Linked DNA regions of Lepisosteus oculatus. The main gene of each other region encodes a partner of the protein of the gene in region 2 in a complex. Links are inferred from orthologs where the notes say so. Each region holds a gene or a part of one and is shown on either strand. Other genes may lie near its edges. The genes, in order: kctd16b and gabbr2.

Region 1 (16,739 bases), on a different chromosome or scaffold from region 2:
TATCAATCATTATAGCTATGAAACAAATTGGTAAATAACTGTGCCTTCCGGGAGATGTAGCCCATGCACCAGCAGTGAGGACTCACTGAAGCCTGTAAAAAGCAACTGGTACTCTGCACCAGAGGTAAAGATCGCCTGGCAGTAGGCAAAGCAGCTGAATAGAGAGGGAAAAAGAATTTGTCACTCTGTTCACCAACTTAATTGTATGTCTAAAAGCTCAGAAAGCCTGATCTTTTTTAAGTACAAAGTTAACCACAATGTTATATGGATCACATACATAAATATTTAGAAATGATGCCAATATAAGCTCATTTTTTGCTTATTTTTGTCATGAAGGTAATTTTATAGTTAAATCATAGGTTCAAATGCTTTGTCAGTTCCATATAATTAAAACTCATGTTAGAGTTAATTACCAATGTATCTCTAAGAGGTTTCTTTTTTGAAGGTTTGGAATCTGGTTGTAACTTAGATTCATTTTATTTTGAAATGATGGGAAAAATAAAGATTTTGGTTTGATTTGGAGTTTTGCATTAAAAATCATTAAAAGCCATTAAATTGAATTACAGTCCGACAGAACACCATAATAGGTGGCCTTCAGTGTTTTCAAGAGAGCAGTCTGAGTCAAAACGTATCCATTAGGCTTTTATAGTACAGCTTCCTGCCTAAAGCTGAGGACTGGAAGATCTTATCAGAGCAGATGGAACTATGAATGGTGATTCCTGCAAAGCAAACTAAATTATGCAATTCTAACTGGATGGATGACAATGTGGCTAAATGTTATTTCATAAACTGAAAAAGAACAGCAAAATACTAACTATTCTGCATATGCAGGAAGGAATAGGGAAATGTGTTTGAAATTGATGTCCCATCTCAAATATCATGGTGCATTTATGCATTGTTTTCCCTTTACTTTGACATGGTTTCACAATGTTTGCAACATGACAATACTCTGTGATTTACTAGGAATTAATTGTGCTGTCTACACTTTGCTCTGATTTTACCATATTTCAACCATTTATGCTGGGGTGTGCAATCTTGGTCCTAGGGGGCAAGTGTGTCTGCAGGTTTTCATTACTATTCAGCTCAGAAATAGCAAAACCAGCTGGTAACTGGTTTAACTGGACACAATCAAAAGCTTCTCCCAGCTCTTCAGGTGCTTCTACTTTAAGGAAACCAAGAATCAAAAGAACCAAGATTGAACGCCCCTAATTTATACACTGCTTTTTGATTAATTTTTCAAATATATTTCCATATATAAGAAAAGAAAGAAAATGAGCTAAATTACTAGACAAAATCATTGGAAGAACTTTAAACCCTGCTATGGAGTATAAAGATAATTATTCATAATTAATATGTCATTTGTGTGCATTAGCTGACATTCAGCATGTAGTATCTATAGCTGTGTGAATGCTTTCCTGTAGTTAAAAAAACTAAGTATAACCATGAAAATTCAGTGTTTGTCATGTTTATTAATAATAAACCATTGCTGATTTTCATCCGAATTCTAGCTAACTGATTTCTGGCATAATTTAGAACCAAGGTCCAATGAAGCAATGTAAGATTTGATGTTTTTTCCACCTTCTTAATAGAATTCTGGAGCAATAATCACCAAGTGGTTTAAAATCTCTGAACATGATATAAAAACTTACAAACTGGTGAGTTTTATATTATGTTAAAGGGGATCATTAAAAATGGGTTGCTTAGCATCAAAATCATCAGTTGCTAAGCATTTGACATACACTTTATTCAACAATTGATTTTAAACAATACAGCAACTGTAGTTTTTTTAACAGATCATTCATTTTGTGTACAGTTATTTCATCCTAAGAGGGCAATGTTACTCTCACTCCATATTCCAAATTTGTGTTGCTCAGGTCTCACTCAGAATTCCTTCACTATCCACTGGGACTCACAGCCAAAGCCACAGGCTCAAATCTTTTATTTTTCAGTGTGAAGCATGCATCCTAGGAAGGAAACTTTGCATTCACAGAATAACACATATGGTTTATATTTGTGCCTGGTTTTTTTATCTGTTGTCCATCATTCGCACAAATATTCACCCCTAAATTGGTGTCAGTAAGGTCACAAAGAGTGCATAATTAAAAAAATAACATGTGAACTAAGTAATTAACAAACCATATGCCTGCTCCATCTCTAGTCCTCAAAAAAGCCTTGACCCACCAACTGTATTTTCTTTAGGTTTTCCAAGGGGAGGTATTTTGAATCACCAACAAAGTGCTTTTTAATTGGCCATATGGCGCTATATCTCTCTCATGTGAGACACCAAAGAGGAAATGAAGAACTAATGATGAGGGGCACTCATGGCCAAACTTTGTCATCAGTCTCAGCAAAACACTAACTGGAACACCAAAATATGCAGGAGAGAGTTTTAAACTGAAGTTGTTCAAGTGTCTCGCATCCTAGTTTTCAATCAATCTTATATATGTTATCAAGTTACTATAACAATTTAATAATAATATTATTTAATTTCTGTGTAAGAGAATATGTAGTGTTGTGCATGATTATGATCATGGAAAGGAAAATGGAAGGAAGTGCAATAACAAGTTAAAAATGAAGAAACCAAACATTTATCTTTCTCAGACTCATAACATTTGCTTATATTCCCAAACTTAAAGAAGTCTTAGAGCGATGCATGAAGTAAGGCATCATGTAGACAGAAGTTAAGGAAAAAAAATTGTCTTTTTAAGGATATGACTTTTATTGATTTTTTATTTGAACATGTCTGTATGTTTAAATGTTTGAAATGGGGCTTGAAAAGAAACAATGTAAATTTGGAAATGTACATACATCTTTTTTACATCTTTGTTTATACAGTTGCTTGGAAATTTACATATTGTGAAGGAACTTATGTTCCCAACAAAAGGAATTACAATTTTATGCAGAAACAGTGAGTCATTTTTCAAATCTAACGTTTTTCATGGTACCTTTTCAGAAGTAATTGAAAATGAATTTTTATGAAGCTCTTTTTTGTAGTTAGGAGATCAAATTGTTAAGGAGATCAAGTTGTATTAGGCACAAATAAAACTCAAATTATATTTGCATCCTTACAAAAGTAGTCTCATATCGAAATTACATATACTGTACCTGTAGACTGCTGATTCTGCAAAGTTCAGACTCTGCAACTAAAGAAACCTTCCGAATTATCTCCAATACTGCAATAGAAATATAATTTGCTATTACATATTGATGTACATGTTATTATTATGCATTACAAAGCTTTTTAAATGTTGATTATGAGGATATTAAATAAAGCAGGTAAAGCAAAATATATATTAAGTACTTTGTTGTGTCCAAAGATAAAACATATTTTAAAAAGAGAAGAAACTGATGGAAAACCTATAAAGAAAATTACATTGTTGTTATAAATGGTGTTGGTGGACAAGCAGATGGTACCCTGTGGACTAGATCATCTAAAAAAAATATTCCAGTATGACAGAAGGTCACTGGTGCTATAGGAGGCCCCATCTTTCAGAAGAGGGCCCTGCCTAACACAGAAAATGTTAAAGGTCCCCTGACACTTTTATTATTAACAGAGATGTTAACCTCAGGATCATGGCCAAAGCCAGTACAGGTTAATAAAATATGGCCTGTTCAGGTTCTTTCAGCCTCAAATCAAATTAAATTCTGTTTTCTGACCATTTATGCCCTTCAACAATGGCCCAGATGTTACACTGCTGACCAAAACCAGGAGGATGTGCCCCAGAACAGTATAGGTGTGTTATTTTAGAAGTGCCCTTATTCTGACATCTTTATCTTCTTAGTTATGATAAAAAGCAACACAACCACTGTGTATATTGTATTGAGCATCTGACACAATACTTCAGACAATGTGTCCCGTTTGATCTCCATAGGGTTTCATATGGTTATACTGCAGGAATTTCTCAAGAGAGAATATACTGTAATCCTTGTGAGAAGCTTGTATAGACCTTGGCAGAAAACTGCATTTTTTAATTTGAAATCATAAATGTGACCTTTTCTAATTAAATGACTTCTATAATTGATATTACTGCCATGTAGTCTTAACCAAGGCCACATACAATTACATTTTACCATACTGTGCCTAGATGGCCTTTTTTTTCCTAATTGAGTTTTAAAAAAAAATGTTTCCACACGATTATCTGTGTTTCATTTCCATTGCTTTTTGACAGGAGAGTTCAAGCAACCAACAAATGATCTAGACTCACAATAGTTAGTGTCAGTACTTTGTTGAACCATAAAAAATTATGAGAGCTATTAAAAATCTCATAATGCTGCCTAGTAGTCCTGAAATAAGATGAGAAAAAGGCTGAAGCAACCAATCTAAATGGCAGCTGTGACAGCACTATTTAGAGAGGGGTGCTTCATAATGACTGTCGGTACGCAAAATTAGAAAAAAATGAAAATTGACACTTTGAAACAAATGTAAAGAGAAATTAGGATGACAAAAAAGGAAATTCATTTTTATTGTTTTTCAAGACGATCATTAAACACTGCTTAAAACTCAGAATCTCTTCACGAAGAACCATGGCAAACACACAAAATTTGTATATTTCATCTACAATACAGTTGTGTTGTGGCTCAAGAAACACTAGTTCTTCCAGACAATCACTACATTATAATACGGAATTAGTTTTTAAATGGTATCCTTTAACTGTTCTGTGAACATATTTCCATGAACAAAGCCAGCTTCAGTAATCTGAAATATAGATTCTCTTGTTCCTTCATACAGTTTAATAATATTTCTAAACGATGTATGAATATATCAGATATTCAGTACTAGATTTACTGTAATCTGTATTAAAGCACTCATGAATTAAAGTTAGAAACATATTATTCTCTCAGATGTAATCCCCAATTCATAACCATAGGAGAAAGACATTCATTTCCAGCTAACTTGCTTACATACTAAATAAGGGTTCTGAGCTTGGCTTGTCCGTTTCTTACATACAATATTTTCATATAAGCTACTGGAACGATTTTCAAGTTGTAGAACTCAGTATCAAGTACAATGACTAAAACAAGTGTGACTCCTAGCGGTGGCTCTTTAAAAAATCGGTTTTCATTTTAAACTATAAAGAACGCAAAAATTTGAGCAGGAAATTTACAAATCAAGAAAATTCGTAAAAAGAGTTCGTGGATTTTGCCCGGCTTGAGACGCAAGTAGTTTCATAGAATTCAAGACACAATTAAACCAATCGGCACACAAGCAAATCTGCACATGAAAGTCAGAATAACTGGACTTACGGTAGAAGACATATTCTGTGTAGCTGGACCAGATCTTGTCATCTGTGTATTGATTGACAAAGGATGCTGTCACCGACGAATTGCAGGCCACCATCTGGAATCCATACTCTGACAGCATGTCAAAAGCTCTCTCAAGGTGTTTGAACTTGAGATAAAACCGGGACGTGTATCTCTCTGGGGGTCTGTCTGGGTCCCTGCTCTCATTCAAAGTGTCCCCAAACACTTCTTTAGCTAAGGAAATCCTCCCGCATATCAAGATTCTCGGCACCCTTCTGAACTTGGCATCAGTCTGACTCTCCCTGCCCATTGTACATGACCCTCTGTACCCCACAGTGATGAACCCATATTTCCTGTCGGATGGTACTAATGATGATGGCGGACATATCCTTTGATCGCTCCCTTGGGATGCTTCTTCGAAATCACTATGAAAAAGGTCGTCCGGACTTTGCTTCAGGTCATCGGGGGTCAAAATTTTGACCAACTCGGGCAGCTGAAAGTATTCCGCCTCCCTCTTTAGTCTGCCTTTTTCTGGGAAGTGGTCAGGCAGGACGACTTGTTTGTCTCTAAGATAGTCTAACACGTACCGAAATAAAAACCCATCTCTGTCGATGAAGTACCGTCCCTTCGTGTCCCGTGCCAAGTCGTTTGAAGGATCCTTTTTAGGCGAGAAAATTTTGCCCAGTAGAGAATTAGGTATGCTAGTTAGGGTGGAATGACGAGTGAAATAAACTTGGCCACCCACATTTAGCTCTACAACATCGGGAAAAGAATTCTGAACAGATCCTTGCTCTTTGGTTTGCGGGTAAGTCCTACAGTTCCCACTCAAAGCCATTGTTTCAGTCATGCACACGAAAATCTTCGAGCCGTTGTCTGTACAGTAATACTTGACTAGAGGAGAGCTTTCCAAAAATATCGGTATTAGTGATTATCAAGCCAGAACATCACTAATAAGGAAAGAAACTACTTCACAAGCTGTTACAGCACTGGGTGAAAAAAAAAATCTTAGAGCCGTAAAATAAAAATAGCAACACATTCACTTCCCAAAGTGTTTCTGGGTAGTTGATGCAAGCATTGGTACAGCTAGATTAATCTCGTTTGATTCATTAAAAAAGAATGAAGGAGTAGAATTTCCAACAGATAACGTATGTTTTATTGGATATGTATAAATGCTTATAACGAATAAATTATTATGCATTTAAAATGCAAGGTATCCGTTTCTAGAATCTCCCCTAGGAGCATTCAAACTAGTTAAAAACGGGGATGGAGGAGGGGAATAACTCGGTAAGATTCCTCAGTCCGATATTAAAATGTAAACAGGCTATAGGTCGATAACTTCAAAAGCGCAGTATTTTTAGATTACTATGTTTCAGAGGCGACGACAGCTGAAGATATATCTTAAGATAAAGTAAATCCTCACCTCGGTCAGTGAAATAATATGTGGTTTCACATATTTCCTTATTTCTAAACACGTTATGTTATAAGTTCACAGCAACTTCATAGTCCTTGGGGCTGGGTAGAACACAACACTGGCGGTATTTCCAACTTATTTGGCGTGATGAGTGATTTGGTTAATCTTTCTGTGGTCCTTAGTAACTTCAGAAAAATTCCACTAATATGACGCAGTTCCACATGGAATTCCACCTTGATCGCCGAAATTTCGCCTCAATTCGATCTATCCGCAGTCAGAAGCTCAATCGGATCTAAAGCTGCTGTTGTGCGCTGGTGGCTGCACTGATGAAATTGGCTACTGTGTGCGCGCCTCTGTCTGAACTGCCCGAGCCGAGTGTGGAGATGCGATGATGCTCTGGGTGCCTTCAGAGCAGGGTGGTACCGAGTAAAAACGGTTGAGCTGATGTTGCTTCAGCAGTGCAGGGAGAAACCATCCTGGGGAATAAACTCTTACATCATCTTAAAGGAAAATGCTGTCTAAAATTGCCTTACCTCATCGTGTTTTTATTTAGGAAAACGTTCATTTCCATATTTCACCACATCCTACATGAATTAATTAAAAACTAATCTGAATGAATTATCGCGAATGCTGTAAATTAATGACAAATTAATTAATACTTCTGTGAATTTAATTATGTGTTCTCATTGCGTATCTTTACAATAATACATGATGAATCTATCATTTTGACTTAATGCTACAGTATCTTAAAAATAGCCTATGACCAGGGGAGATTAAAGTTACACTCGTTGACTACCGCTCTCTAACATTTTAATCTAATTATTTAAACAATATAATTATTTCGCATTCGTTACAGTTATTTTTTTATTCTTTAGCTAAATTAATAAGTGCTTTGGTGATGGTCCTGAAAGAGGACAGGGGTAAGTTGTAGACTTAAAAATGTGTACATTTTCAATATTTAATTAGCTATTAAGTACCTTTTGCCCGAGCGTTGACTGCGTTCTCGAATCGGGCTTCGCGTTATTTCAGCACCAAGGTCAGCAACTTAACTTTTGGGGTTTTTACTCTTAAGTTATTGGGGTTCACCGTCTGAAGCTAAGGATATTTTATTTTTAATTGGAAAAGGTTGAACTTTTAAAGAAAGAGTTTTTAATTTGTCAAAAAAACATGAAGATGATCCTTCACATTTTATTTTTCTCCAAGGCATCGGGGGTTAACATTCAGAAGTCAATTAAATACAACTATCGCTGATTTGTACTACATTATGCTTCGTGTTTATGCTAGTTCAGGGGTGCCTGTTTTTGTCCCTGCTTGAGTTGTCAATTAAAAACGTTAATTATTGTCACAGAAAGGTGTAAGAATTGTCTTAATGTTGTCTGCTATTATTTACTCAAAATATTCGCTTCTCTAATAGAACGGGTGTATGAATCACCTTGGCTCATAGTTAGAAGTAATGTATTACAATTATTTAGATAATTTAATGATTAGAACAGCTAAGTAGCTGAGACATTCAGTGGAACAAAAACACAAAGTCATAAACACAAAGGCCCTCCAGGAAATATGTTTGACCCTGCATTAGTTCCTCTCTGGTCTCACTTTTCTATTGGCTCTGATTGGCAGGACTTCAGTATAATTAGCCTCTTAATTGCTGGCTGTAGCAATATTATGTAATGGAGCAGATCAGCATAGACCACATCTTGATTGTTACGTCTTGCATTACTTTTGCCTCGATACCCCAGCAGAAAGTCCATATGGATACAGACTTGTGTGGTTACCCACAAAATAAGATGCTTCTATTTGTATATGCTTCTGTTTCTCTTGAATGAACAACCAAATGGCTCCTGTTTGAAGCTTGCAGACTGCTACAGTGAAATAATGCAAAGCATAAGATATTAAAAAGATATGATGTGTTTATCACCTTGGGCATTTTGGGTAAGGAAAAAACATAATAATCCAGATGTTGAATTTCCTCTGCTGCTAGTACTCTTATTGATTAAACAATTAACTTAAACAAGATTTCAATGAATTCAAAACTCTAATTGCTTGGTTCACATAGTTTAACATTTTCCACATTTGCGGTGCATGCAAAATAGAATTGTTAAATGTTTAACTGAGGGAAAAAGAAACAATTTATTCTCTTCAAACACCCTCAAGTCTGCACTCTAGAAAAAAGATCTGTGAGCCATTAATTTCTCTGCCTTCATCCTAATTTTTCTGGCGTTTTCAGGTTTTATACAAAAAGGATGACTGAAAGTCTTATCAGGAAAGTGTAGTGAAGCGTGTAAAGCCAGCTGATGTACAAGCACAGTTATGCTACTTTGAGCTATTCATTCAGTTTTTTTTCAATGCATAATACTGTATGGGCTGAAGTCATGAAAAAGATCATTTTTGCTTTTTTGAGAGCAGGGTGAGCTTAGAGTTGTACAAAGCATGTTAATATCGATTGTATATTTATAAACAACAGGCACATATTTAAAATAATCCACAATTTGTCTCTCAGAATTAAGTCATAGTTGACAGTCTAAAGTTTGCTAATTACTATTGTCACGTTTTCACTCAATTAATCAATTAGCTGATGTTAAAACAGCTGGATCTCAGGATAGCTCACTGCTTTACAAATTGAAAAAGGTTATACACAAACTGCCCCATGCACCAGATTGACACAGGATTTCTAATTCCACTTCCATGCCTGAGAGCGAATTCTCTCCTTTTGTATAGTAGACCTAACCATCTAAAATAAACCACACTTGTTATGTGTATAGACTAGGGGATTTTTTCTATGGTTAAAATTCAAATATTCTGTCTCTTTAAATAAAGAGAACATGTGTTATCAAAAGGAATAGCTGTTTGTTCAGCTAACAGTTATTTTCAGACTGCTATACTGGTAGAGGATAATCTATAATGCCACTCTGTGAAGGTATTATAAATTAAAGTTATTAAAGCCCAAAAGTTATTAAAAGTCATTTTTCCTTTGCCAAAGTGTCATAACCAATCTGACATTCTCAATAAGAGCAGATCTAATGCATCTTTGTATCATTTTTTTTTCCAATTTCAGATTTAGGCTTGTCTGTATATATTATATATTTGCTACAATATCAAATGGATTTTAAAATCCACAATTTTAATGTCATTATTTTTATCTTTCTCCACCTGAAAGATGGTGAAGTCCAGATTTTCCTTTCAGGGCTGCAGTCTCAGTTAAGTACATCAATCACCTTTATTAACGCTTTCCTTCTTGGGTTTCCTTTTGTTTGCATTTGATGAAGTAATATTCTACCATTTTCATTTATTGCAGTGTTAGAGCCTACTCGAGTGTGTCCTAGATTGAGGGACCATAAGTGTATCAAGAACAAGAAGCAACCATTTCACACAAGTAGCAACTTAATTTGCATCACAACTACAAATTTATATCATACAATTTCTAACAGTAATTTGCTGTGCAATTCTGTGCTGTCCCAGCACTGAAATCATCATCTTTCCTTCTGTTTTTGTAGCCATTAATTGTAATTGTGCAATGTATTGGGACAAGAAGAGGAATAGCTATTGTACAGCTATGAATCTGTATCCTTGTCAGAGAGTCAGCAACTCCTACTGTATATACACAGTATTTTACATGTTATTATTATTTTTTGTCTTTCAATCTGAGAAGGTTGAAACTGTAGAATATCAAAGAAGTTGGAAAGAAATACTCAGAACCCCACCTAGTGGTAAATAATACAAGCCTCTAATGATATTATGATGAAAATCTTTGCACTATTATTGTTGGTCTGTAAAAACTGTTTATAGTCTTCAAAGCAAGTTCTGGTATTGTGATATTTAGAAGCTTTCATCAGGAAGACTCTGAGCACAGACAGTAGCTGTTATTGTTGTTTTTACTGTTTGTGATAGTTTTTTTGGGTTTTCTCTATCAATTCCAAGTAACTCCCAACAAAAAAAATGCAAACAGTTCAATGAAGTTGTGTTATTATTTTATTCTATAAGTTAAGTCAATTGTCTGCCTCTTTTAAAGTCACATTTGGACAAGTCACATGAAGAATCTTTTCAAAATGAGTAAGCTACCCATACTCGATCATTCAAAAAACTCAGATTTCACAGATTTGGATTATATAAGAGTCGGCGTTACTTCTCTGACGCCAAGGAGTTTTGTGTAACAAGTTATAGCAGAGTGCCACTACCTGAGTTTCAAACTGTAAAATCTGTTTACATTCCCAGCCCTCAGTAGGTTATTTGATTAGTTGATACGCTAGCAAAATGTCATGTTTCATACTTTTATGTGTTGGGCTGGCACCAAGAAAAAAATCTTTGGGAATAAGAGTATTTCTGCAAATTATATCCTTATAGTCTAAGAGCTTAGTAACTGAGTGCCTGTTTGTGTCTTGAAATCCAACTCCTTCGTAAAGAACACCTGTGACAACTCAGCAAAAATATTTCATTCACTAGGTTAAATAGTTACAAAATGAAGCTAATAAAAGGGGTTGCTTTCTTAAATATTCATTAATTGAGGAAACAAAAGGTGTGCGAGCATATATAAAAACAGAAGTGAAATTTAGTTAAATAAGTGACATCTTATACATCAGAAACATTAACATAAAGCACTTTGTAGTGTATAATACAAAAGTAGTAGGGGTCAAATAAAGAATTACTGTATTTTGTCACATGACTGCCTAGCAGTAAGGATACCTTAATGCTCTAATGGAATATTGAGTAACTATTAAGACCACAAATGAGAGATTTATTGACTCCACCCCTTTTGTCTGCTCTGCTGGAAGAGGACATTAAGGTTTTCATCAATCAGGGGAAAAATACATTTCGTTTTATGGTTAATCAATCCTCTCTTTTGTCATGCAAAAAAATCTCTCAATATTCTTCTTTTTGATAACTCAGAAATATTTTCCTACTTAATTGCAAGAAGGAAAAGCTTTTATTTTTCCCCAAACTCCAAATTGTTGTATTTCATTTTTCTGCTTACTTCATATTGAGATGAGAACAGAATGTGCAGGAATCTCGGTGCAGTCATTTGTAACTAGGCCACTGCTGTAATCATAAATAAATGCATGCCATGTTTGCACATGTTATGTTTTTTTTTAAAGCTACTTGGCAAGGCAGCTTTGTTCTTACATCAACAGACCCAGCATGAGAATATATATTGATAAAGTTAAAGGTAAATTAGAAAAGAGATTTAGATCAACTGTGATGGAGCAGATTATCTTGCATTTTTGCAGAGTTGTTGTAATTTGCCAGTGTGCCTGACCGGATATCTTTTAGTTTGCTCTATAGAGTTCAACTAACATCTACTAGAAACAGCCTATCCAAATGAGGGAAACATCAAAGTAGATAGAGTAGCTCTGAATTTCCATCATGGCCATTGCTGGACAATATGTAAAATTATGTTTCTCATTTAATACGGTCACATGTCAAAGGCATAGTTCTTTATTGTTTTTCTGTACCTTGTCAATAAAAAGCTTGTTGAGGAGAAACAAGCAACTATATAATTTTGAAACATCTCAGAAACCTGTGCAGGAAGCAGTGTCCCAAAAAATTGGGAGCTCTGATAACTAATCGAGAGCTGAAAAGTGTTTCTACAACCCTCAATCACCATCAGTAAAGACAGACTCTGTTGAATATGTATTAATCCTATTGATGGCTCTTCAGTGTTTCTAGATTAATAAAGTGGGATCTTTTCAGAATTTTCTGCCTTGGAAGGCAGAAAATGTACAGTATAGCATATGAGGCCAAATGTTTAGAATTTACCCTTAGGGAATAACTTGTGGTTCATTTACAGTACTTTAAAACAGCCTTCAAGCAAGTTAAAGGTTCTGAAAAGATTATATTACTACACATTCATTAGTAAATGCTGTTCTGTATTAACAACATCCCCTAGCTCTTTTTTTCTAACTTTCTGCAGAGCCAAGACTTGCTGTTTGTGTTTTACAGAACTATACAGGGAACAGGGTGGAGAAAATGTTACTTTCTGTTAACCTGTAAAAACATGAAGGAAGTCTGGCACCTACTCTGATTTGTCTTCTTTAATTCACAATGTATTATTCTTCATCCATTTGCAGTGGACTGACTGCCATAATCCAGAGCTTCGGCAATAACTACCAGCCTTTGGTTGGAATCCAGTACAGCAAAACTATGCTGGGACTAATGAAAGCTCAGGTAAAATTGCAGTATGACCACATGATATTACATTTTGTTAATCTCACCTCCACTGAACCTCAGTGCTGTTTTTGACCCTGTGAACCATAACATTCGTTGTAGATTTTTCTGGCAGTTGAACGATGAAGGGTGAAAATCAAAATGCTTCATTGTGGCTATTTAATGTATAGTGTTCAAACCAACTTCAGTGCTGAAACAAAAACTCTGAAGGTATGGGCTCTCGTCAAACTCTTGAGGCACATGTCCAGCATGTCACCAAGACAGGTTATCCCGATCTCAAAAATATTACCCCATTCTCTTTTGTCAAAGCTTCATGCAATATAGTACATGCTATTTTATCCAGACCTGACTATTACAATACCCTATTTGCTGTGTTATCCAGGAACATTTAGTTACTCAGTAATTAAAGTTCTGAGCAGGTTTCATTCTGACAAACATATTAACCTTGTCTTGAAATACAATACTTGCGCTGGCTTCCTGTTGAATTTTGTATTGACTCTAAGATATTTTTCCCGATCTTCCGGTCATGACAAAAAAGTCTCCCTTTCTAAATTAGGATAGGTTAAGATATGTCTTTTAATTACTCCTGTGAGCTTTTGTGGTGTGAGGTCACTTCCATAGATTGGCATTCTGTCCAGAGTGTAACCCCACTTTGTCCCTTCTGCCTCTGGGATATGTCCTGGGCCAATTACCAATTGCCACATTACCAATAAAGTAGCTTCATGATGATGGGGGGATGGATGCTTTTGTTCATCAAGCACCCAGTATTACTTTGGAAAATCTCACACATTTTGCAAGTATTGTTCTACATTATGCAATAGCAAGTTATTATTTCTGATAGGAAACATAAAATCATAGCTATTTCAGACACTCACATTAATGTGGGCTCATGTATTTATCTCAAGAAAACAATATAATTGTGTTTTTTCCTCTGTAATATTCATAGGGTACTCACCGTAGTAATGTTTAGTGTATGCATCGAAATTAAAGGCACAAAAAAAATATCATCTATTTCCTCTGATAATGCAGATTATTTGGAAATTGCTGCCAGATTTACCCATCAGTGCCCTTATCTCTGCATTGAAGATATAATTTAGAGACTTAATTTAGATCTACTGGCCTTATGGCAGACACTCTGTCTCTGTAAAAACAGATCTGGAAGACAGGAATATAGTTTTCAACTAAATCATTACGAATTCATGTCTTCTATATGTTGCTATTATTTTGATTAATATTTGATCATCCAATGCAGTATTACTACTGACCCCCTAAAAACAATCTCAGACTGGATGTAAAAGGAATGCAGAATGCCATTTTCTTCTCAATATCACCATTCTTAATAAAAGTGTTATTTTTAAGATTGTGCTGTTGAAGAGCAGTCAATTTCCCCATGTGTTTTATGGCCACTCAAGAAAGGTACTGCACTGAAAAGTTGAGAATGTCCCACTAAATTATATAAAAGGACCTTATTTAAGAAGCATTAGAGCTGTCTCTGCAGATGCAGTGGAAAGCAGTAGAATAAGTACAGAAATCATTTAAATGCTCAGTGAAGAGGATGTTTTCCAAGCAGAACACCAGTGACCTTGCAAAGATCAAATGACATGCAATGTAACATGCGCTGTGCACAGTAAGAGTATTGAAATTGAACTAGTCTATAAGAAAATACTTTATGCACTTGAGATGCAGTTCAGAAGAGCTTTAAAGTATGTGTGTCTGATAAAAGGATGAAGAGAGTGTTTCAAAATCTCTTCAGAAGTGCAATGGGCTACCAGCTTCTGGATCCCTTCATAAATCTCAGTAATAGGTGGCTCAGGATAATCATGCATTAGTGCCACTGTTCTCCCATGATAATCCATCATAAGAAAATTGTTTAAATGATTCTAAAATACTCCTGCAAGCATTTGCCTGATAAATATAAGGTATTAAATCAAACGAAAATGAAATAACATCACTGTCTTCAATCCACACATTATTTACAGGCTTTGAAAACATCTAAACCAGTGTTTACAACCATTACCTTTTTTTCTTTTGAATTTATTTAATCCCAAAGTACAGATGTAATAGCAGTATAATGCAGAGCTGTAGTTTTCATTCTACAGGCTTTCTAACTAGATATGGTGTTCTGATGTTTTACCATTATTTTTATAGCCTCAAATTCTGCAAGAAAGCGCACTCAAAAAAGTAAAATAACAGGTATCACAAAACACATTGATGTTGCAGTGAAATTAGAGGACAAATATTGAAACTTCATTGAAACAGAAGGGCAAAAATGAATGAGCTCCTTGCCTAAAGTAAAATTATTTTTATAGAAAGTAATCCAAACTTCAATTAAATTCTTTGTGCAAATGCATTTTCATCCTAAGCCGTTAAGCTTTATAGCAATATACAATGAAGTGAAATTAAACCTCATTTAATAAACTAGATAGTTAATATTTCTTCATGCTGCTCCTGTGCTGTCATACAGATGTACGGAAGTCTCATTTTTTCAATTCCATCATCCTAAAGTAGGCTTGCTACTTTCCCTGGAGATGCTGCACTGTAACATGAAACACAGCAGACATTAACAAATTGGCAGGCTCTCTTGAATTTAAACTGTGTGGCACTGCCAGGCTGGTTAAGACATCTGAGTATTTGTCCAGATGCCAGCAGCTCTCCGAAATTAAGTGCCGCCAGTTTCAGAAATTGTGTTCAAATGCCTCATGCAGGTGTTATTTTAAAGCTCTGTTAAAATGTTGACTGCTTACAATGGCAATAGCAACAGTTACTGGCATAGGAAAGAGACAACTTCATTTTGTACATGTGAGAGTAAGATTGTGAAGTTAAAAAAGGAAAAAATAAATTTTAGCTGCATTGAAAAACACACTGTTGCTAATGAAGGTGCAATTTGCTTTCCATAGCAGTGCAGTGTAATGTGTAACTTTGTTTGTCTGATTTTGGATATTTTATGAGATGGGTGGCATTGTAGAGGGGTACTCATTCCGGGCTGAAGCACCTGCAGTATGGAGTTTGCATGTTGATTTTATGTGGATTTTTTCCCAGTACCCTGTACCCCTTTCGCCCCTATCATATGGGATAAGCTTCAAGTATAGACAAAACTATACTTTTATGAGGTTCATGTAAAGCAGTTTTATTTGCCACATACAGTATTTGCTTTTAATTATCTACAAAGGTTGTGCAAACATTTGTTTGGGAGCATAAAACATTTCCTTTTCTGAAACAATTCGATGTAACACAACATGAAGGCAATCAAGAAAGACTAATTTCACACATACATCTCAGCAGATCAGTTTCGAGAACTGACTCGTGACAACTGCAATAACATCACCTTGATTCAGATTATTCTTGTTTTTCAGATTACTGTGCCAACGAGGTTTACTTGATCAGGGCAGTGCCTTTGCTTCTATTAAAATGCATTTCATTAAATACAGTATACAGTATGTGTGCTCACAGTTGCTAAACAAGATTATTATGCATTTAAATGATTTTCACATGGTACAGTGACACAGTGGTTAGCATTGCTGCCTCACAGTGCAGGGGCACTGGGTTCAATTCCAGACCTGGAGTCTGTATGTTTTCTCCATATTTGCATGGGTTTCCTCCAGGTGATCTGATTTTCTCTCAAAGTCCAAAATCATAATGGTAGGTTAATTGGCTGTAGGTGTGAGTGAGTTGTGCCAGTGTTTGTGACTGTGTGTCTGCCCTGCAATGAACTGGCATCCCATCCGGGGTGTACCCTGCTTCGCACACTTGACTTGCTGTGTTAGGCTCTGGCTCTCCCACTACCCTGAATGGGAAGAAAATAGATGTATGGGTGATGTTCATATAAATTCATCTTCTATTCCATAATGTACTTGTTTTTAGATTAAATATAGATTACCAATCCATTTATTATAGTCTCCCTCTCAATAAAGAACAAAGGTAACTATAG
Region 2 (16,843 bases):
AATATATAGAGCTTTACAGTATAAAGTACATTTACTGCACTGTGTTAACTGATCTTAGTGCTTTTCAAACAAAGCATGTGCTGGCTTTTCAAAGACCAAATATTAATAGTTAAATCTGTTGAGTTTGCAGGGGAATTATTGCAAAGCAGAGAAGACTCATGTTCACATCTTTCTCCAGGCTAATAAAATAATTCTCCTGATATCACTGATATCTCAGTTCTATTTCACTGAATAATTTCATTAGATTATTCAACAAAGTCAGAGCACTGGGCTTTCAGGTGTGTAATGTTTTTTTAATGCCAGGTATTACACTGTAAATATGAAATTATATGTAATTAAATGAAAGTTGGGAAGTTGGCATACAGTACTGCACAATCTCCTCATTTCATTTTACTGAGCATAGGCCATATGTACAACCAGTAATATTACATAAGAGGTAATATTACTGATGGCACTTTTAAGTGCCTGCCATTCTATTTTCATTAGGCTATGCAACAAGATCATTTGGATTCTATTACATTTTGCTGTGGCAGGAAGTAACATCTTGAACAGAGAGCATGTCCAATATTTTATTAGCAACTCCATGACAAATAGCATCACTTACACCTGTCTTAATGGGTTACCTTAAATATCCTTTAACAAATAAGGTGATGATTTAACTTTTAAAGGATAGATGACAACATGCAGCTTGGACATAGATCAACGCTTGTCACTTCCTGCATGCTGTGAAGCTTTGATAGCCTTGGTGAGCACAACTTTTTGCATCTCAAAAATGTAGGATCCAAAGTAAATCCATTAGGAGTTTTGACAGTATAAAGCTGTAATTAGGTTTTTACTACTATACATAATAAAGAGATTCTGTCCTCTACATGAAAAACACAATTGGTAAAAGGAGTCAAATTAAATAGGTTATCAAATCCTTCAACCTCACGTAATAACTTCTATAGATAAACAGAAAGTGTCAGAATGACTGTATGTGAAACTGCATATTCTTTCACTAATCCTGTTCTAATTACTATTGCTTTTACTTTTATTGCTACAGCTTTTTAATAGCAATATCAAACAATTACACTCTAACAACCCAGCAACCTACTCCATTGCATAGCCAGTTGCTTAGCCTGACAATCTAATACAATATGAAACACAACCATGACACCTGTGGAAAAGATAAAGGCAGAGATGTCAAATAAGACTTTTTGTAAACCTGCAATTAAGCCAATGTAGTCCTTTGAGGTAAATGGAAAAAATGGGCATTTCCCTCATTAAGACAGATGAAATCACCAATGTTTCCTTTCATATAAAGTAGTTGATGGAAATAACTCACTCATCAGTTAGTTACAACAAAATCCGACCTTACAGCCAAATTCCTTGATTTTAATGATCAGTATTTGCTCTACAACAACAGAATACAGTCTTCAATTAAAGCAATTTAAGGAAAATGGACTTTTTCAAACCTCACATTTACTGGAAAAGTCAAATATGCAAGCTGCTCTGGTACAGTGAAGTTTTGTTAAACACAGAGATACATTTCTTAAATTTAAAATGCCCATTTGCATATTGAGATTTATATGTACACACAGTATATTTAACTACAGTATTTGACACCTTGATCATTTAGGCACTTCTCAGAAAACTCAACCACAAAGTATTTCCCTTTGCTTAATAATAAGAATGCCTGCAGCACATAATTAATAATGCGTAAGGAATCAATTACCTGGGAATCTTCCAAATGAAACTGGATTTCATAATTCTTAAACGGAGATGGGTGTTTCTTCAGGTGATGAAGAGCCAGTTGGACAGCTGGTAAGACCTCAGCCGTAAGGTTGCCTCTCCCAGGATAGTTGGTGAGGGGCATGATCCACATGACAGGGAGAGTGTGGGGACTTTCGCAAAGTTTGGGCCCCCTCAGCCACACAAAAAGAACTAGAATCTTTAGCGCTTGTGTCCAGGCATCCATTTTACCTTCTGGCACCCTCGTTCTTGCTACGTCTCCCCGTTTCAGTGTGTCTCCAGGGAATAAAAGCCCTTAAAGCCTTTCTTTAAGCTTGATCTCCTGCAGCCTGTTGCTACTCTGTCCCGCAAGGGGGTCTGTCCCTTAGAGAATACACTGAGAATGTGATTAAGGGATAAAGAGCTGCTCAGGGCTGATTACTTCAATCTGCCTAGCACACCAGTTCAGTAAATGCCAGTGGATAGCTCTGCATTCCTTTGATTTACTTGCATTAAAACCAGGACAAATAAAAGCAATGTAACATCTCCACACCTTTAAACATTTCAGAGGTGATGGAGGCATTTTAATCAGTGTATGATAAATACAGTATGTACCTCTTTAAACAGGCAGGATTGTGTTTTGCTGGAGGGCAAAACACGGGAATTTGTGAAAGGCCTGATCTCACACACAAATTGAATGAAGAACGAAGCACAGGATTATACCCTTGACACAGCAGACTGCTGTAGAATCATTCTAAACAATAAAATTGAAGATGGCTGTATAACCCTTTAAGATCTATCTTACACCTTAATACTTTCTTCATTGAGACATGTTTTAAAGCAACACTTACAGGAAATCAGCTAACCAAGCACCTCTAAAATGTATCTTAATCCTGTGATGTTTGCATTATTGTAAATGTATTGCAGCTACCAGCATGTCTGCCTTTATACACAGCTGTATGGCTACAGTATGTTATCGTTTCAATTAAAAAGGGAGGTTGATCATTACTAACCATGATGCAGCTAGTCCCTGGCATTATGGTCAAATTAAAGGAACAGGTAGACGTGTTTATTCTGAGCTTTCAGGGGTCATATTTTTCCACAATTACCTCCGTAAACATAGAAGAGCAAAGTGAAGGAGTGGTTTGGTCTCTACATTCCCACCCAGAGATTTGTGGGATGCTGCTGTTGTGCACTTTAACTTGGTATTTCCCACAGCTTGCTGCTAAGGTATAAATGGATCTCATTTCTAGTGAATACGAATGTTTTCAATTAGATTACCTGATGAAAAAGAGTAATAAAAATGAACACACAGCTTCTGATACTACTTATTGATCGCCGGGATCTGTACAGCAACTAATCTGTCATGCTCAATATCTGCAATGAGAAGCTACATAAATCATGTATACATTGTTACACTTTATGGTCAATCACCGCAATCAGCACTGGGATTTCTAAGCAATATTATTCAACACAAAGTAATGAATTTTATGTTTTATACATTAATCTACGAGTATCATTTGTACATCTGAATTCGGCTTGGGCCACATTTCTTTGGGAATATTAAGGAGATGTATTTCTTCAGTAAATTATCGCTCTAAAGCAAAATGTGTTTTGCTTAGGAGAAAGCGTAAATGTTTTAGACATAATGCAATAGAATGTTAATTATAATTCCCTGGGGCTGCAGAGAGGTCAGTGTAAGATGCCAAGGGTGGATTTTAGAGAACAAACAGCCCTAGTCTGCAAATAATCTCCAGACACCAAACAAACATTTGCCCCTTTCAGAGTTTCTAAAGTGAATAGGGAAAGAAAATCACAGGAGATAATGTATTGTAGCCCGGGGCTCCTTAAAATGTATAAAAAATTACTTTAGACCCATAGTTATATTAATAGAATTATTCTCACATTGATGAAGTCTTCTGAGATTCTTTGACTCAATAAACAATAAAACAGTGCAATAAACCTATGTTTTACTTATATAGTGATATTACAGGCTGTTGGTTATTAAACAAGTGAGCTTCTCCATCAAATGTTTGTAGTTCTTTCTAGTTTTTTATTGCTACATTCCTCATGATTCTGATAACATGACACATTTACAACTTTGCATCCCGTGCTCCAATTCACAATGTTATGCATGTTTCCTCTGTGGGAACTAGTAGAAAATCAATGTCCACAGTCAATGCACACTTATTAGTATAGTAAATCCTTTTTGCAACAGGAACAGCTACCAACCAGTCCATAACCTTAGATGTAAATTAAAAGGTTTGTTTTCTGTGATCTACTGTAGGTCTAACCTTATGACTAGTATTCCTGTTCCTCTTCTTTAAATCCCCCACATATCAATTGAAGCTACTAAAACAGAGTCATCTGAGACTTTATGTGACCGGCAGAGTTGTTGAGTGTAGTATGCACTGTTCTGATGATAGTATGTGTTTTCTAGAACTACCTCTAGAACAAACAGGACTTGTATGGTCTTCCAAGCTATACATCAGATAGATGCTACACAAAGCCAGTAATCACCACATGTTGTCAAATACAGTATGAAAGCTAGAAGAACAGAAACCAACATGTGCAACATCTACTTGGCATTGCTGAGTACCTGGTATGTGGTACTTACAGTATATCTTGTCTCTGCAAATTAACTTTTCTGTACATACTGTACACCTGTAGATACTGGACACTGTGTGGAGATCCCAAGGCATATGAATCACAGTCTGCGGGTTTTGTTTTCAGCGACAATAAGTAATTCAGTGTACAGGAAGATTATAAAGGTGATCCTGATAAAAGAAAACTCAAGCTAAAAGAAGCGGAAGATAAACTGAAATGAAAGAACACGCAGAACGTGAAGGGATATTGAAGAGTTTGGATCACCCTGCCTACTTACATGGCCTTTTTTAAATTCTAGACTATGCTACCAGATGTGTCAGAATCAAACTGAAAAAAGAATTGCTCAATTCTTCACGATCAGGTCAATGTTAGATTTCCATGTTGCAACCATATTTTTCTCCTGCTTCGATATGTAAAGTGAACATTGCAAGACTATCATCGCGCACTTGAATAGTATGCCCTCATGAAGCTTCTGAGTGGAATTCTCACCAACTTCAGGTTCTGTGGTATTAAAATAAAAAAGGCACAAAGCTGCTATCTTAAAACAGTGGTGACCATTGTTGCCTCACAGCACTGGGGACCTGGGTTCAAGTCCTGGCCTGGGGTGCTATCTGTGTTTAATTTGTATGTTCTCCCTGTGTTCACGTACTGGTAGGTTGACTGGCTTCTGGTAAAAATGGCCCTGGTGTGAATTTTTGTGTCTGTGTTTGCACCCTGTGATGGACTGGTATCCCACCCAGGGTGTACCCTGCCTTGCACCCTCTGCTTGCCAGAATAGGCTCTGGCTCCCCCACAACCCTGACTGGGGTGAAGAGTTTTGAAAATGGATGGAATGGTTGAAAAGGAACGTACTGTAAGTCACACATTCAGGATTCTTAGCCCCTCTGTACTTTTTTTTTGGAGTAAAGTCCATGATAGAAAAGCCTAGGAATAAATACTGTAACTCTAAACTCATCCATTTTCAAAATGTTTGCATTTTATTAAATTAACCCACTTCCATCCACTGAACTATGCACTCTCTGTTAAAACATACCTCTAGGATTAAGTCCGACCTGCACTTTCCTAATAGGTATTTCAAATGTACAGGACTGACAGGCTAAATGTCAATTGCAATTTATCTGGGAAAACTACGGGCTAATTACTGTACTCAATATTGGACATGTACCAATACTGTTGGAATTCAAATGAATTTCATTTTGCAAGCCTTCAAAGCCATTAAAGTTCACCCCTTCCCAAGACAAAGATCCAATTCTGGATGAGTATCCAATATATTACACGTTATAAATAATCTTAATGATGAACAAAACAGACAAAGGAATATAAAGAATATTTAATTTAACGGCATGGGTTCCTAGAGAATGCAATGTAATTACTAAGCCATGAAAAGTTTCAGCAACACCTTTGCATTCCATGCACTGTCAATTTCTGTTAGATTTTCAAAGCCCACTACCATAATGATTGCATTTTTAACAATTAGGCCATATACCTCATGAATTTCTTAATTGACCTCAAGTGAGCTTTTAGTGACATTTATTAAATGCTTTTTGGCTAAGACTGCCTTTCCACTAAATTAAAGGTAATTATGTTCCTTTGCACCTTTAAAATGCTCTACACAACCATAACATAAGTTTCATTAAACATACTTAATTGGATTGTAATAATAAAGATGGCAAGGAAAGCTAACATTGCAAAAAACCTTCAATTCGACTACATACCAGATCAGAGATTGGTTTATTGACTGGTTGATTTAATTTTTGTTGGTCAATGGTTTATTTTCAGTAATTTTCAGTCATTTATGCTCACTGTGACAATGTCGAGAACTAAAAAAATGTGTTGTTTCTTTTTTAGATCAGTTTTACCTTCATATTGGGTGAGGAGAATTAAATTTGTGATAAATGTCATCAATTAAAAAAAGTGATCTACAGTATATATTTCTTTCGTAATGGTATTAATCTTCTAATCGGATAATGTGGCCCTAAAATTTCCATTTTACCCGAGCACTAGATACAGTAAGTGCAATGAGCAAAAATATTCTACGATGCTGATAATTTCCAGAGGAAACGAGTCCTCTCCAGTCATTCTAAACACGATGGCCATGTGGTTATTCTGATGAGGAAACTTCGTCATGGTTTTTAATCACCTGTGATATTTTTCCAACCATCTGTTGAGACAGAAGTCTCATAAGGCATCTCTCTGGTGAATGAAGTTGGCCGGAATTACTTACAGTACGTCCCGTTTTTCATAATCAAAATAACAGATGGACAAAGTTACATAAAATGTGCTATAGCCCGATTCCTCGATGCAGAAATATTCTAAAAAGTCACCACCATAATAATGTCAAGGAGATCAAGATTTCTCGATTACTTTTAATATTGATGGTTTCACAATGATGTGCTGGCTAGACTAGAAAAGATTTTGAACAAGAAATTACTGCCATCTTCAGGTAAACAAAATTAGCAGCAAGCTTGTGACAAAATAATATAAATCGTGACTGAAATAGATTATTGATGAAGGTGGCAAGCGTCCACTGTAAACAGCACATTTGGCATTAAAAAGAAAGTCAAGTAATTTTTAAGCAACGTTCTTAATGTACGATAAAAGGATAAATGTTTCATAGCCACTCGAATTTACAGGAATCATTCATATCTATTAAAATGACTAAAAGGATCTTGAAAGGACAGTATATTGAAAATACGACATGCACCAGCATATACTATACTGTAGGAAAGCATTGTGACTTTATAATCCCTGCAAATGTAGACATCTTTTTTACAAATGTCTATAATTGGTTGCAATTAAGCAATTGATTGCAATTGAAAACATCAGCGTTTCTACATCGATTAACGGAAGAAAAGTTAAATGTTTCCTTTCTGTTTTGCGGTGCTTTAACGTTTCCATTAACAATATTTCGATGTGTTGTATACATCATTCCTCACAGAAATTAAAACCTGTATTCGGTTTATTTAAGTCTCTTTTCATGTCACTTAGTTATTTTAACCAAAAGTAATCTACAAAATAATTCCCAAGATTTTGAAATTGCCATGACGTTTGCGCAGGTATTTTATTTTTATCTATTCTGTGTTAAGCTAGGTACTGTATAGGGTATATGGCCGGTAGTGTGGATTCAGTCCCATTCTTGATTAGTTTGTTTTGGGGATAGGATGTCACGTTGTTCTATTTTATCTCTGAAGTCTTTCTGCATCAATACTAAGAAGATCTGGCTGCGGTGTGCAGCGCAGGTGTACCAACCCATCTCAGAATCCAGTTTCCACATGAATCTACCGTACCTGCATCACTGGCAGTTCATCGTGCATGCATAGTTCCCCGCCAGTGTTATATCATGTAGACATGACTGTAACCGTCAACCAACACCAACGACATATTAATGAACAGAACACTGCGAGTTACCTCAGTGTCGTAGATTTTGGGGATCAAAGAGAAAGAATAATTCCCGGACTCTTTCGTATGCTGAATGGCAAGCTGAACAGCGGGGTCGATCCCTTGACTGATACTGCTCATAAGCGCTGATTCATTCATCGGCATCAAGACCATGATGGGCAACTCTTTGCCGTCTTTAGCATACCACGCATTGTCCAAATTGTGCCCAGCGTTGTCATTGCAACCTCGTGCAAAAACAGGTCGGAATCCCAAGATAAACAGAAGCATGCATCCCGACACCACAATCATCTCCAAGCTGCATTTCCTCTGGGATGAAGCCATGCTATCTGAACAGGGCGACGGAATAGATGCACCCTTTCACTGCCCTGGCATTGCAAACTGTTCCTATTTTGCGCGTTTATGGTGGATCCTACACCCAACTGTAAATAAAAAATATATATATACAGAATTACAGTAAAACAAAAGCCGAAGGCAGAGATGCAATCAAAATATCCTTTTCTTTAGGGTGAGGGTATCACGGTAAGGTGCAATCTTCTTTTAATGGCGCTTCGGTATGATTCTCCCTAAGCACCTTCCAGATGTAAGAAAAAAAAACAGTGACGATGTGATGAAAACGGGGATTTTCTCACAGATGTGAACAGACGAAAGAGATTCACTTCCCCTTCCTTGCCGTCTGTGATCCACAGCAGTACAGTATGTGCTAATCTGTAAGTCTCTCCAACTCGATCCCTCCTTTCACCTCCCAGATACCGACACAATCAGGGCAGTACATCACAATCCAAAGTGATGAAGGGGAGAAAAAAAAAAGAAGAAGCAATATTATTGAACTACTTGCAGTAAGAGTGTTTGGATATGCAAACGAATCCCGTATCCGAAAGTATTCCTGGCGAAAAAAAATCAGAGTGCGGATACTGCATTCCTGCCAGTGCCCTGTTTCTTTGAAGGAGAGAGGGGGGACAATTCAACGCTGTTACTAAAAGGGAGTAAAAAGCAATCTTGCAAGCAGCAGCAGCTCTAGTGAGGAGATGTGATCGAGTCCGTTCCTTCCAAGCCTGAGTCGTGCTGCTGCTGCTGCTGTCTTGGTGCTTCTGAACAGGTCTTCTGTGCCTGTGCTGATCAGAGCGCGCGAGAGAGAGCGAGCTGTGCAGGAGATTAAAAAAAAAAACCTCGAGGGAACTGTTGGTACCCGTTCCCATGCAATCACCAGCTGCCTAGAAGAGAAAGGTACTGTAATAGCGTCTTGGATTGTTTTTTATTTACTGGCATAATAGACTAGTAAAATGTCACCGCGTAAACCTAAACGCCTTTAATTAGATTTCATGTTCAAGTAGAGATATCAGAGAGCGCGTACAGCACCGCAGTCCGAACCGACCCGTACCTCATCGTTGGCTGTTTGACACGCATGGTAAACTACGGTTTCAGCGTATTGGGAAGAGCTACTATTGTTTACGCAGAAGAGCACCGTGTTGAATCACTGCGTGTAATATGGTCTTTTTTTAGTAACTAAGAATGGATTTCAACTGAACTGTTCCTACCCAGATACTGAACATTTTCCAGACAAGCACTCACACAAGCTCTGATTAGTTCATGTTGTTAGGATATTTTACATTCTCTTTTACAAAAGCGTAATTTTACAGATTTCCATTATATCCGATTATCAGATATGGTAACAGGTTATCATGCATGCACCTGACCCAAAATGTTCATGGACAGTTGCTTTGTGACAAAAATGTTTACCAGTTTTACCAGACGAACGTTGTTTTAAAATTTGACTTGAATTAAACATTTGAAGGTTTAAATTAATAAATCCTGAATGGTTTAAATTATTTTGAAGCATCTGTGTGATGGAAAAGCGTTTTTTATTAAATTGCCAGACGCAAGGGTATAATTAGAAGGCTCTGGTTTATACAAACACTGCCATCTAGCAGTTCACGATAACTGGACACTTTTCTAGGAATTGTGACATTCAGACCATGATATGAGTAAATTATAGTCATAATCATAAAATGAAAAGGCCATCTCAGTCATAATTCTTTACCCCTATTTTTCTAGAAAATATATCAGACATTTTACTACATGTCTAATGCCTATGATAACCAATGAATGTTTCGTCCATTTAGCTTAGGTGACGAACAATAATATACGAAAAACACTGAATTTTTGTTGAATGTGTTTTTGAAATATGTGTTGAGGTTTGTTGTAGAATTGTAAGGTACTAAATTAAACCTTTCTTGGTTAAATATCTTACCAATTATGTACAAACATGCCTTCGAAAATGTTTAAGATTTAAGTACTTTGAAACTAAAGAACGAATACACTGTTAATGCAAAGAAAACAGCGAACAACTTATGTTTAATAATGAAAAGCAGTTCGAAATGATAGGAAAAGGGCTATTCCGACAATAAAGGCAGAGCATTGAGGTTGCTATCCGAGGTGCTGAATTAAGATGCGCGTCCACTTCAGAAGAGCAGAGACCAACAGATCCTCTCTCATCTCTCGAAAATGAAATCTGTGTTCTGAATACGTTTATTTAAAAACTCGTTTTGTAAGTGCGGCAGTTGCAGAATATATGGTTTCACACTCTACTCGTAGAAAGATCTCTCTGTCCCTGGAGTGTTAAAGCGATTCAACTGCCTTTTCGATCTCTTGTCACCTGCAAACTCAGATGTTCTGCTCCGAAGCTAGCTGTCTCTCTGGCGCCTAACATCAAATAAAGCAAACATTAAATTAATAAATGTATATTGAAATTCTTAAAGATAAATTCACACAACAGAACTTACAGTGTAAATGTCCGTTCTAGATATTATTCTGTACGTTTTTTACATGTATAGCGTTATAAGGATGTAAACAACCTGATGAATAAAATAGGAGTCCTAAAAACATTTTATAGATGGTGTATATAAACGGTAGGGATGTATACATTTTACTATGAAGTTAGATATAAAAGGGACAAAAAATAGGAAACTTACAGACAATGAAAGGGAGTTGACTGATGTACTAGAAGAGCATTTTACTCAGGTATTCACTAAGAAAGAAATAAACAATATACCTCAGTCAGCAGAAGGACAAAGTTTTGTATTAGTATTAGGATAGAAGAGTGAGAGTGATACTAGAAGTTTCAGATACTAGAAGTACTTCAGATAAATGAATCCCCAGGGTGTAATGGTATCTTACCAATTGTACCCAAGGAAACAAAAGATGTTATTCAGAAGCCATTGGCAGGTCTTCCAACAGTCGCTTAAGGCAGGTGCAGCACCCAGATACTGGAGAATCGGAAATGTAGTACAAATCCATAAAAAGAGTGAGAACACCTTACAAAAATAAATTACACACCAAAACATCTGACATTTGTTACATGTAACGTAATGGAAACAATCATAAGAACTAACCTGGTGGATCATCTATATAGAAATAATCAACAGGAATTCAGTAATGCTAGCAGTATCTTGCCTAACCAACACCGGAGTAAGGTACACTCAGACCTATGATACGAGTTACAGTATTCATATTTTCAAAAGACTTTTCAAAAAGATTTTATCCCCATAAAATATTAATTTTCAAATTGCAGGTTGTAGACATTCGGGAACACTTCAGTGTTTAGATTGAGAATTGGTTATTAAATAGAAAGCAGACACATATAAGGGGTGATGTAATTAGAGGAGGACTTCAGGTATCTGTACTAGGACCAATACTTTTCTCAATTTGTATCAATCTCTAGATTTCGGTATACTTAGCTGACTACATTTTTCAAATGATACCAAATTAGGCGGTACAGCAAATACTGTAGAGGTAAACAAATGAATCTGAAAAAGAATTAAAAAGGTGAACTATGAATACATATTATGATATATGATATTAATATTATTACGTTGACACATGATTTAAATCTTCCAGACAATGTAGGGAAGCAGTAAAGCAAACAAAGTGCGAGGATGTATAGTTAAAAGCATAGAATTTAAATAAAAAAGGGATGTTATGTTGAATTCTTAACACACTAGTAAAACCTCATTTAAAATATTGTATAAACTGTTGGTCACAATGTTATAAAATAGATACTACTGCTGTGGAATCATTCCAGAGAAGAGCTACCAGATGCAGACTGAAAGAAAATGTCCTTAACTGACAGACTGAAGGAATGAAACTTTTTTAGTCTTGAACAGTGAAGCGAACCAACAATTAAACAGGAGCCAGATGTTCCAAATGGAAACTATTCAGACATACATTTAAAAACCAGAAAGGTTGTGGGAATTTGCAACAAACTACCCAGTGATGTTGTTGAAGCTAAGCACATTAAGAAAGAGCTGAATGAGTTGCTTGCATTAATTAACCACTGACTACCAAATAGGCTGCCATGCTATAAAATAGATGCCCTCCACACTACGTCCTATGTTATCGCTAACTGTGGCTGAAAAGCAGATCAACACATTTGTCTTCTCTCAAATTGACTACTGTAATGCTCTACTTGCTGGGGTATCTAAATCTACTTTGAACAAACTGCAGTATGTCCTAAATTCAGCAGCCAGAATCCTGACCAGATTTAGTGCAAATGGTCACATTACTCCTATCCTGGAGTCCTTGCACTGGCTTCCTGTCAAATTCTGTTTGGACTTTAAAATCCTCATGCTCACCTACAGTACAAAGCTCTGCATGGCTTGGCACCTCAGTACCTGTCTGAACTATTATCGCCCTACTCCCCACCTCGCAACCTTCGCTCTTCTAATTCTGGTGTCCTTACTGTCCCCCAAGCCCATCTACATTGTATGGGTGACAGGGCCTTCTCCTGTTTTGCCCCCAAGCTCTGGAACTCCCTGCCCAAGGATTTCAGAGAGTCACCTTCTCTAAACTCCTTCAAATCCAGACTCAAAACCTTCTTCTTTAGAAAAGCCTTTACTTAACTGGTTCCATTATTCACTCCCCTGCTTTTCTTAGTACCACCATCTATGGTCTCCTCTGTGTATTGTAATTGTGTTTTATCTTGTGTATTCTTTTTATTTATTGTTGTTGTCATCCTGTAAAGTGCTTTGAGAAGCCACCTTTAAAGGTGCTATCTAAAATAACATTTTTTATTATTATTATTATAACCTTTCTAATGTTCTTATTTCAGAGGAGCTCCAGTCAAAGGTGTAGAAGTCCTGGGTAGCCTATCATTGAAACACTGCCCCTATTAGTGGCATAGTGTTCCCAGGGGTACCATCAATAACACTAATCCTTGTGTCTGTTTGTCGTTGAAATATCCTTTAATGCTGTGTTCCCCTAGGAATCTAACCAGTCTGTGGGCTGCCAAGGATGAACACAGTTTCATTAAGGTAGGATCCATATGGTGTCAAGAGAGAGTAAATGTGCAATTGAAGGGAATATTGCGCATTGGACGAGCAAAACGTATCAATGCTGAGCTGCTATTTTTTCAAGGCTATGATGTGCATTTTGATTATAGGCCCAAATAATTGCAATAGCTTCTTAAATGAAAGGGGGTTGGGGGCTGATTTCCATAAAAGAAAAATTGAAAAGGTAAACAAGAACTGTATGTAAAGAAAAGGAAGAAATTCAAGAGTAAGAATTGTCATTAACAATGTTAAAACATCGGCCAAGCTAGTTTGAAGAAGGATTGGAATTAAGTTGTACATACTGTACATGGTTAGTGATACTGATTTGCTGATATGACTTTTGAGCAAGTGGCTACAGTGTCATACCCTCAGTTTTCTTTGTATTCACAATTGAGAAAAACCCGAACAACAGAATTAAAAACAGATCATTTTTAGTAGAAAAATGATCATGTGTGAAAAAAATCTATCCTTACTCATGAAAATGTAGGTAAATTCAAGATGCAATCTTTTACATGACGACAGACTGAAAAGGGTTCAAATGATCTGAAAAGATCCGTCTCATTGTTTCACAGTTGTTATGAATGAGGTACTGTAGCGATTTCCATTCCATCTGAGTGGTCAGCATATATATTTCTACTTGTCAAAGGCTACCAATAAGTCTTTTGTGGGTCTGCATTGAACCAATATAAACAAATCTATAGTGGGCAGGACTCAGAAAAAGGATACAAGATAAAGCCACCTCTGAGCATGCAGGAATAAATAGAAATGCTGGACACAACTTCTTTCTAAAACAGAAAAAAAGACAATTACCCTGAAAGAGGTAATAAATTCAAAGCTTTTATGTAATTGTACAATGAGATTGTTGTTGTTGGAATACGTCTGGCAAAAACCCTTGTGAGATTAGGATGGTTGGCTGTTGGTTATCAATCATCAGTGAGACATGTGAAACAAAGATTTCTGATTAATGTAGTGAAAAATCAATTGATTTTTCCCATTCTACTTTTCCCATTATTTGGTTTCAGTACTGAAATACAGTATGAGATGCTATTGATTTTTATACCACTATGTCCCATTTTCTCCTACCTTTTGTGGTTTTCTAGCCTCATACTAAAGCAAAAAAGGTATTCCATTTACACGTGCAGCTGTACCAGTTAAAAATATTTTAATCTAGAGCCCCTCTATCAGACACTAACTATTGAGTGCTGTATATCAACAGATGTGGTTGCAAAACATATAATACTATTACTTAAACCTAGCTTTATCACACTTCTGAAATGAAAAGTTATAACCATGGGAATTGGGATAAAAAAACTTCACTTCATACATTTTAATTAATTTATTGGAAAACATGACTTTGAAAAACACCCCCTTAATTATGCATTCAGTAGAACTGGCCAAACTGTAGACATAAGTTTATTGTTATCCATTATTATATGTCAACTATGAAGTTTTAGACTAATTAATTCATATCCAACTAGCAAAACAAATTGGAGCAAATTCCACAAATAAATTGGGAAGTAGAGAGAGTGCAGGAAAATGACGTCAAGAAAATCACATTAAATTTCTTAATTTCCAAATGCAGTGAGGTTGATATGCCATTTTAAGGATGAATCTTCTAAGATGGCAAACAAGTCATTTTTCTGGTTCATTGAACTAAATTACATTTAGTTCATTTAGCTAAATTACCAACAATGATTTGCATCTGAGACAACTAAAAAGCGGGAATCTCCGAAGGCTACTTCATCCCTAATGCAAGTTTTCCACTGGTGCGTGAGTTCTCCATATGCATACTGTAGATCAGTATAATTTTATGCTGGTTATGATTATCCTAGTCTGCTTTAATATATACATATCTTCACAAAAAGAAAGTGAAAATATGGATATCTTATACTTGCATCAGTCTGTTTCAGGATCTCTTACAAAGCCTGGCCAAAGTGACTGAAATGAAAACTAACAAAGTGAATCACATGGACATCCTCAAATTAGTGAAACAAGAACTAAAGGACACAAATGGAAACAAAGGGGGTGATGAATTTAAAATTAACAAGAGGACAACTTTTTGCACAAAGCTGTGGGAGTCTGGAACAAGCCTCCCAGCCATTTCGTTGAAAGCTGATACCCTGATTTTCTTCAAGAAAGAGATGGATGAGATCACAGATGACTGATTGAAAGACTTTCTTGCATTTGCAGCATTGACAGGTAAGCCTTTTTCACTGCTTGTTCATTCCCCCCTTAACTTCATGGTGCAAAACTCTATACATCGTTTCAGTTTCTAAAGACCAGAAGTCAAACATGATAGGAATGTAATAGCTATACTACCATTTTTTTCTCCGTTATTCCTTTGTGGGACTGTACATTTCAGCAAGCCTTTTATTTCTTCACTAAAGGCATCAGTTTTGCAAATTGCTGAACCTGAACCAATAAAGGGTAAAGCACAAAACCTGTATGTACAGTACATCAATATACTGCAACAACAATTACATGTTCAACCAAGAAAACTCCATATGGCACATGACCCTCTCATACAGTAGCTGTTGTTGGTAAATACTACGTTTTTTGCATAAATCACAGCCTTGTTGATAGTTTGGAGAATCTCCATTACGATGTTAACAGAACTAGACAAGGAAGATTAAAGGACAGCATACTTAATACTTTGGCATTGGCTCACCTGGAAGAGTCAACTACAGCGCTAGCCAGAGATGGACTTCATTACAACCCCTCTCACTTCCCAGAGGAAACCAGAGACCTGGGAGCTGCTACAGTGATGAAGCTAAAGTCGAGGAAAGGGTGCAAGAGAAGATGTGCTAGATTAGAACAGCCTTCCTCCCAAACTGTTCTACTGTTAAATGACACCATTGTTAACAACTACTGGTGTTGGTCAAATAAGCTTGCTGTATCTGCAAAAGAAAAAGGTGCTAGATGATGCAAGGTTTTGGATGAAAATATACAGTACCCCTGGTACAAAAGCTTTGCTGTCATAGGCAACAGTATGTATGTAAAATGTATGATAACAATTACACTAAAATGGCATTTTAGGACTTGCAACATGTTCAGATAAACAGTGCATGTGTCAGAAAAACAATATATTGACCTTGGCCTTCAGCAGGCATGTGTCCAGTAACTGAATTTTTTCAACGTTTATACTGTAACTGAAATGTTATACTCGAACATTTTAAACTGTTCAGCTCCAAAATGTGCAGGATTCACCTCTCCACAATTCTTTACATTTTTCAAACCTTTATCTCGGGCGGTGCAGTGGCTCTGTGGCTAAGGATCTGCTCCAGTTTCCTCCCACAGTCCAAACACATACAGTACTGGTAGGTTAATTGGCTTTTGGGAAAATTGAATCAAGTGTTAGTGTGTGTGAGTCTATGTCTGTGTGTGCCCTGCAATAGACTGGTGTCCCATGCAGTGTTATCCTGCCTCATGTCCTTGCTGGGATGGGCTCCGTTTCCCCCCCACAACCCTGTATCAGATAAGGGGGTTTCGAAAATGGATGGATAAATGAAAAACTAAAAATGGAAAGCTTACTTTCAAATAGATAGACAATCAATGAGTGAATAAATTAGGTTACAATTTAAGTATTCGGGAAAAATCATTCTTGATCATTCTGTCTCTGAAACAATATGTGTTCAGCATTGGGTATCTACACCTGGTTATTTAGATTGTTTATTCTGAGGGAGATGCATTAGCTACAGACCATTACAAATGTCACTCATCCCTCTTCCAGAGGCCTATAATACTTTATCTGATGTGTGGTTCAGTTTTGCTATCACTCCGTAACAAAAAGTATAGTCCGGAAC

Evidence for each region.
Region 1: the proteins of gabbr2 (region 2) and kctd16b are in contact, whole or in part, in a crystal structure (PDB 6M8R), measured with the Homo sapiens proteins. The link is inferred for Lepisosteus oculatus from reciprocal best matches to the Homo sapiens genes GABBR2 and KCTD16. Residues at the interface, in NP_005449.5 of Homo sapiens: Ile882, Asn883, Ile888, Gln889, Arg891, Leu892, Ser893, Leu894, Gln895, Leu896, Pro897, Ile898, Leu899; in NP_001357415.1 of Homo sapiens: Asn30, Gly32, Gly33, Gln34, Val35, Tyr36, Asp64, Leu65, Ala66, Lys67, Asp68, Ser69, Arg72, Phe74, Gly79, Phe80, Arg83.

Annotation. Positions count from the first base shown.
Region 1 is NC_090706.1:25,281,355-25,298,093, forward strand, and holds the start of kctd16b (BTB/POZ domain-containing protein KCTD16), read right to left. Parts: upstream 7,098-16,739; 5' UTR 6,089-7,097; coding exon 5,245-6,088; intron 3,174-5,244; coding exon of another isoform or gene 3,106-3,173; intron 1-3,105. UniProt on the Homo sapiens protein: Auxiliary subunit of GABA-B receptors that determine the pharmacology and kinetics of the receptor response. Increases agonist potency and markedly alter the G-protein signaling of the receptors by accelerating onset and promoting desensitization.
Region 2 is NC_090705.1:32,059,701-32,076,543, reverse strand, and holds the start of gabbr2 (gamma-aminobutyric acid type B receptor subunit 2), read right to left. Parts: upstream 8,823-16,843; 5' UTR 8,038-8,822; coding exon 7,726-8,037; intron 2,011-7,725; exon of another isoform or gene 1,958-2,010; coding exon of another isoform or gene 1,715-1,957; intron 1-1,714. UniProt on the Homo sapiens protein: Component of a heterodimeric G-protein coupled receptor for GABA, formed by GABBR1 and GABBR2. Within the heterodimeric GABA receptor, only GABBR1 seems to bind agonists, while GABBR2 mediates coupling to G proteins.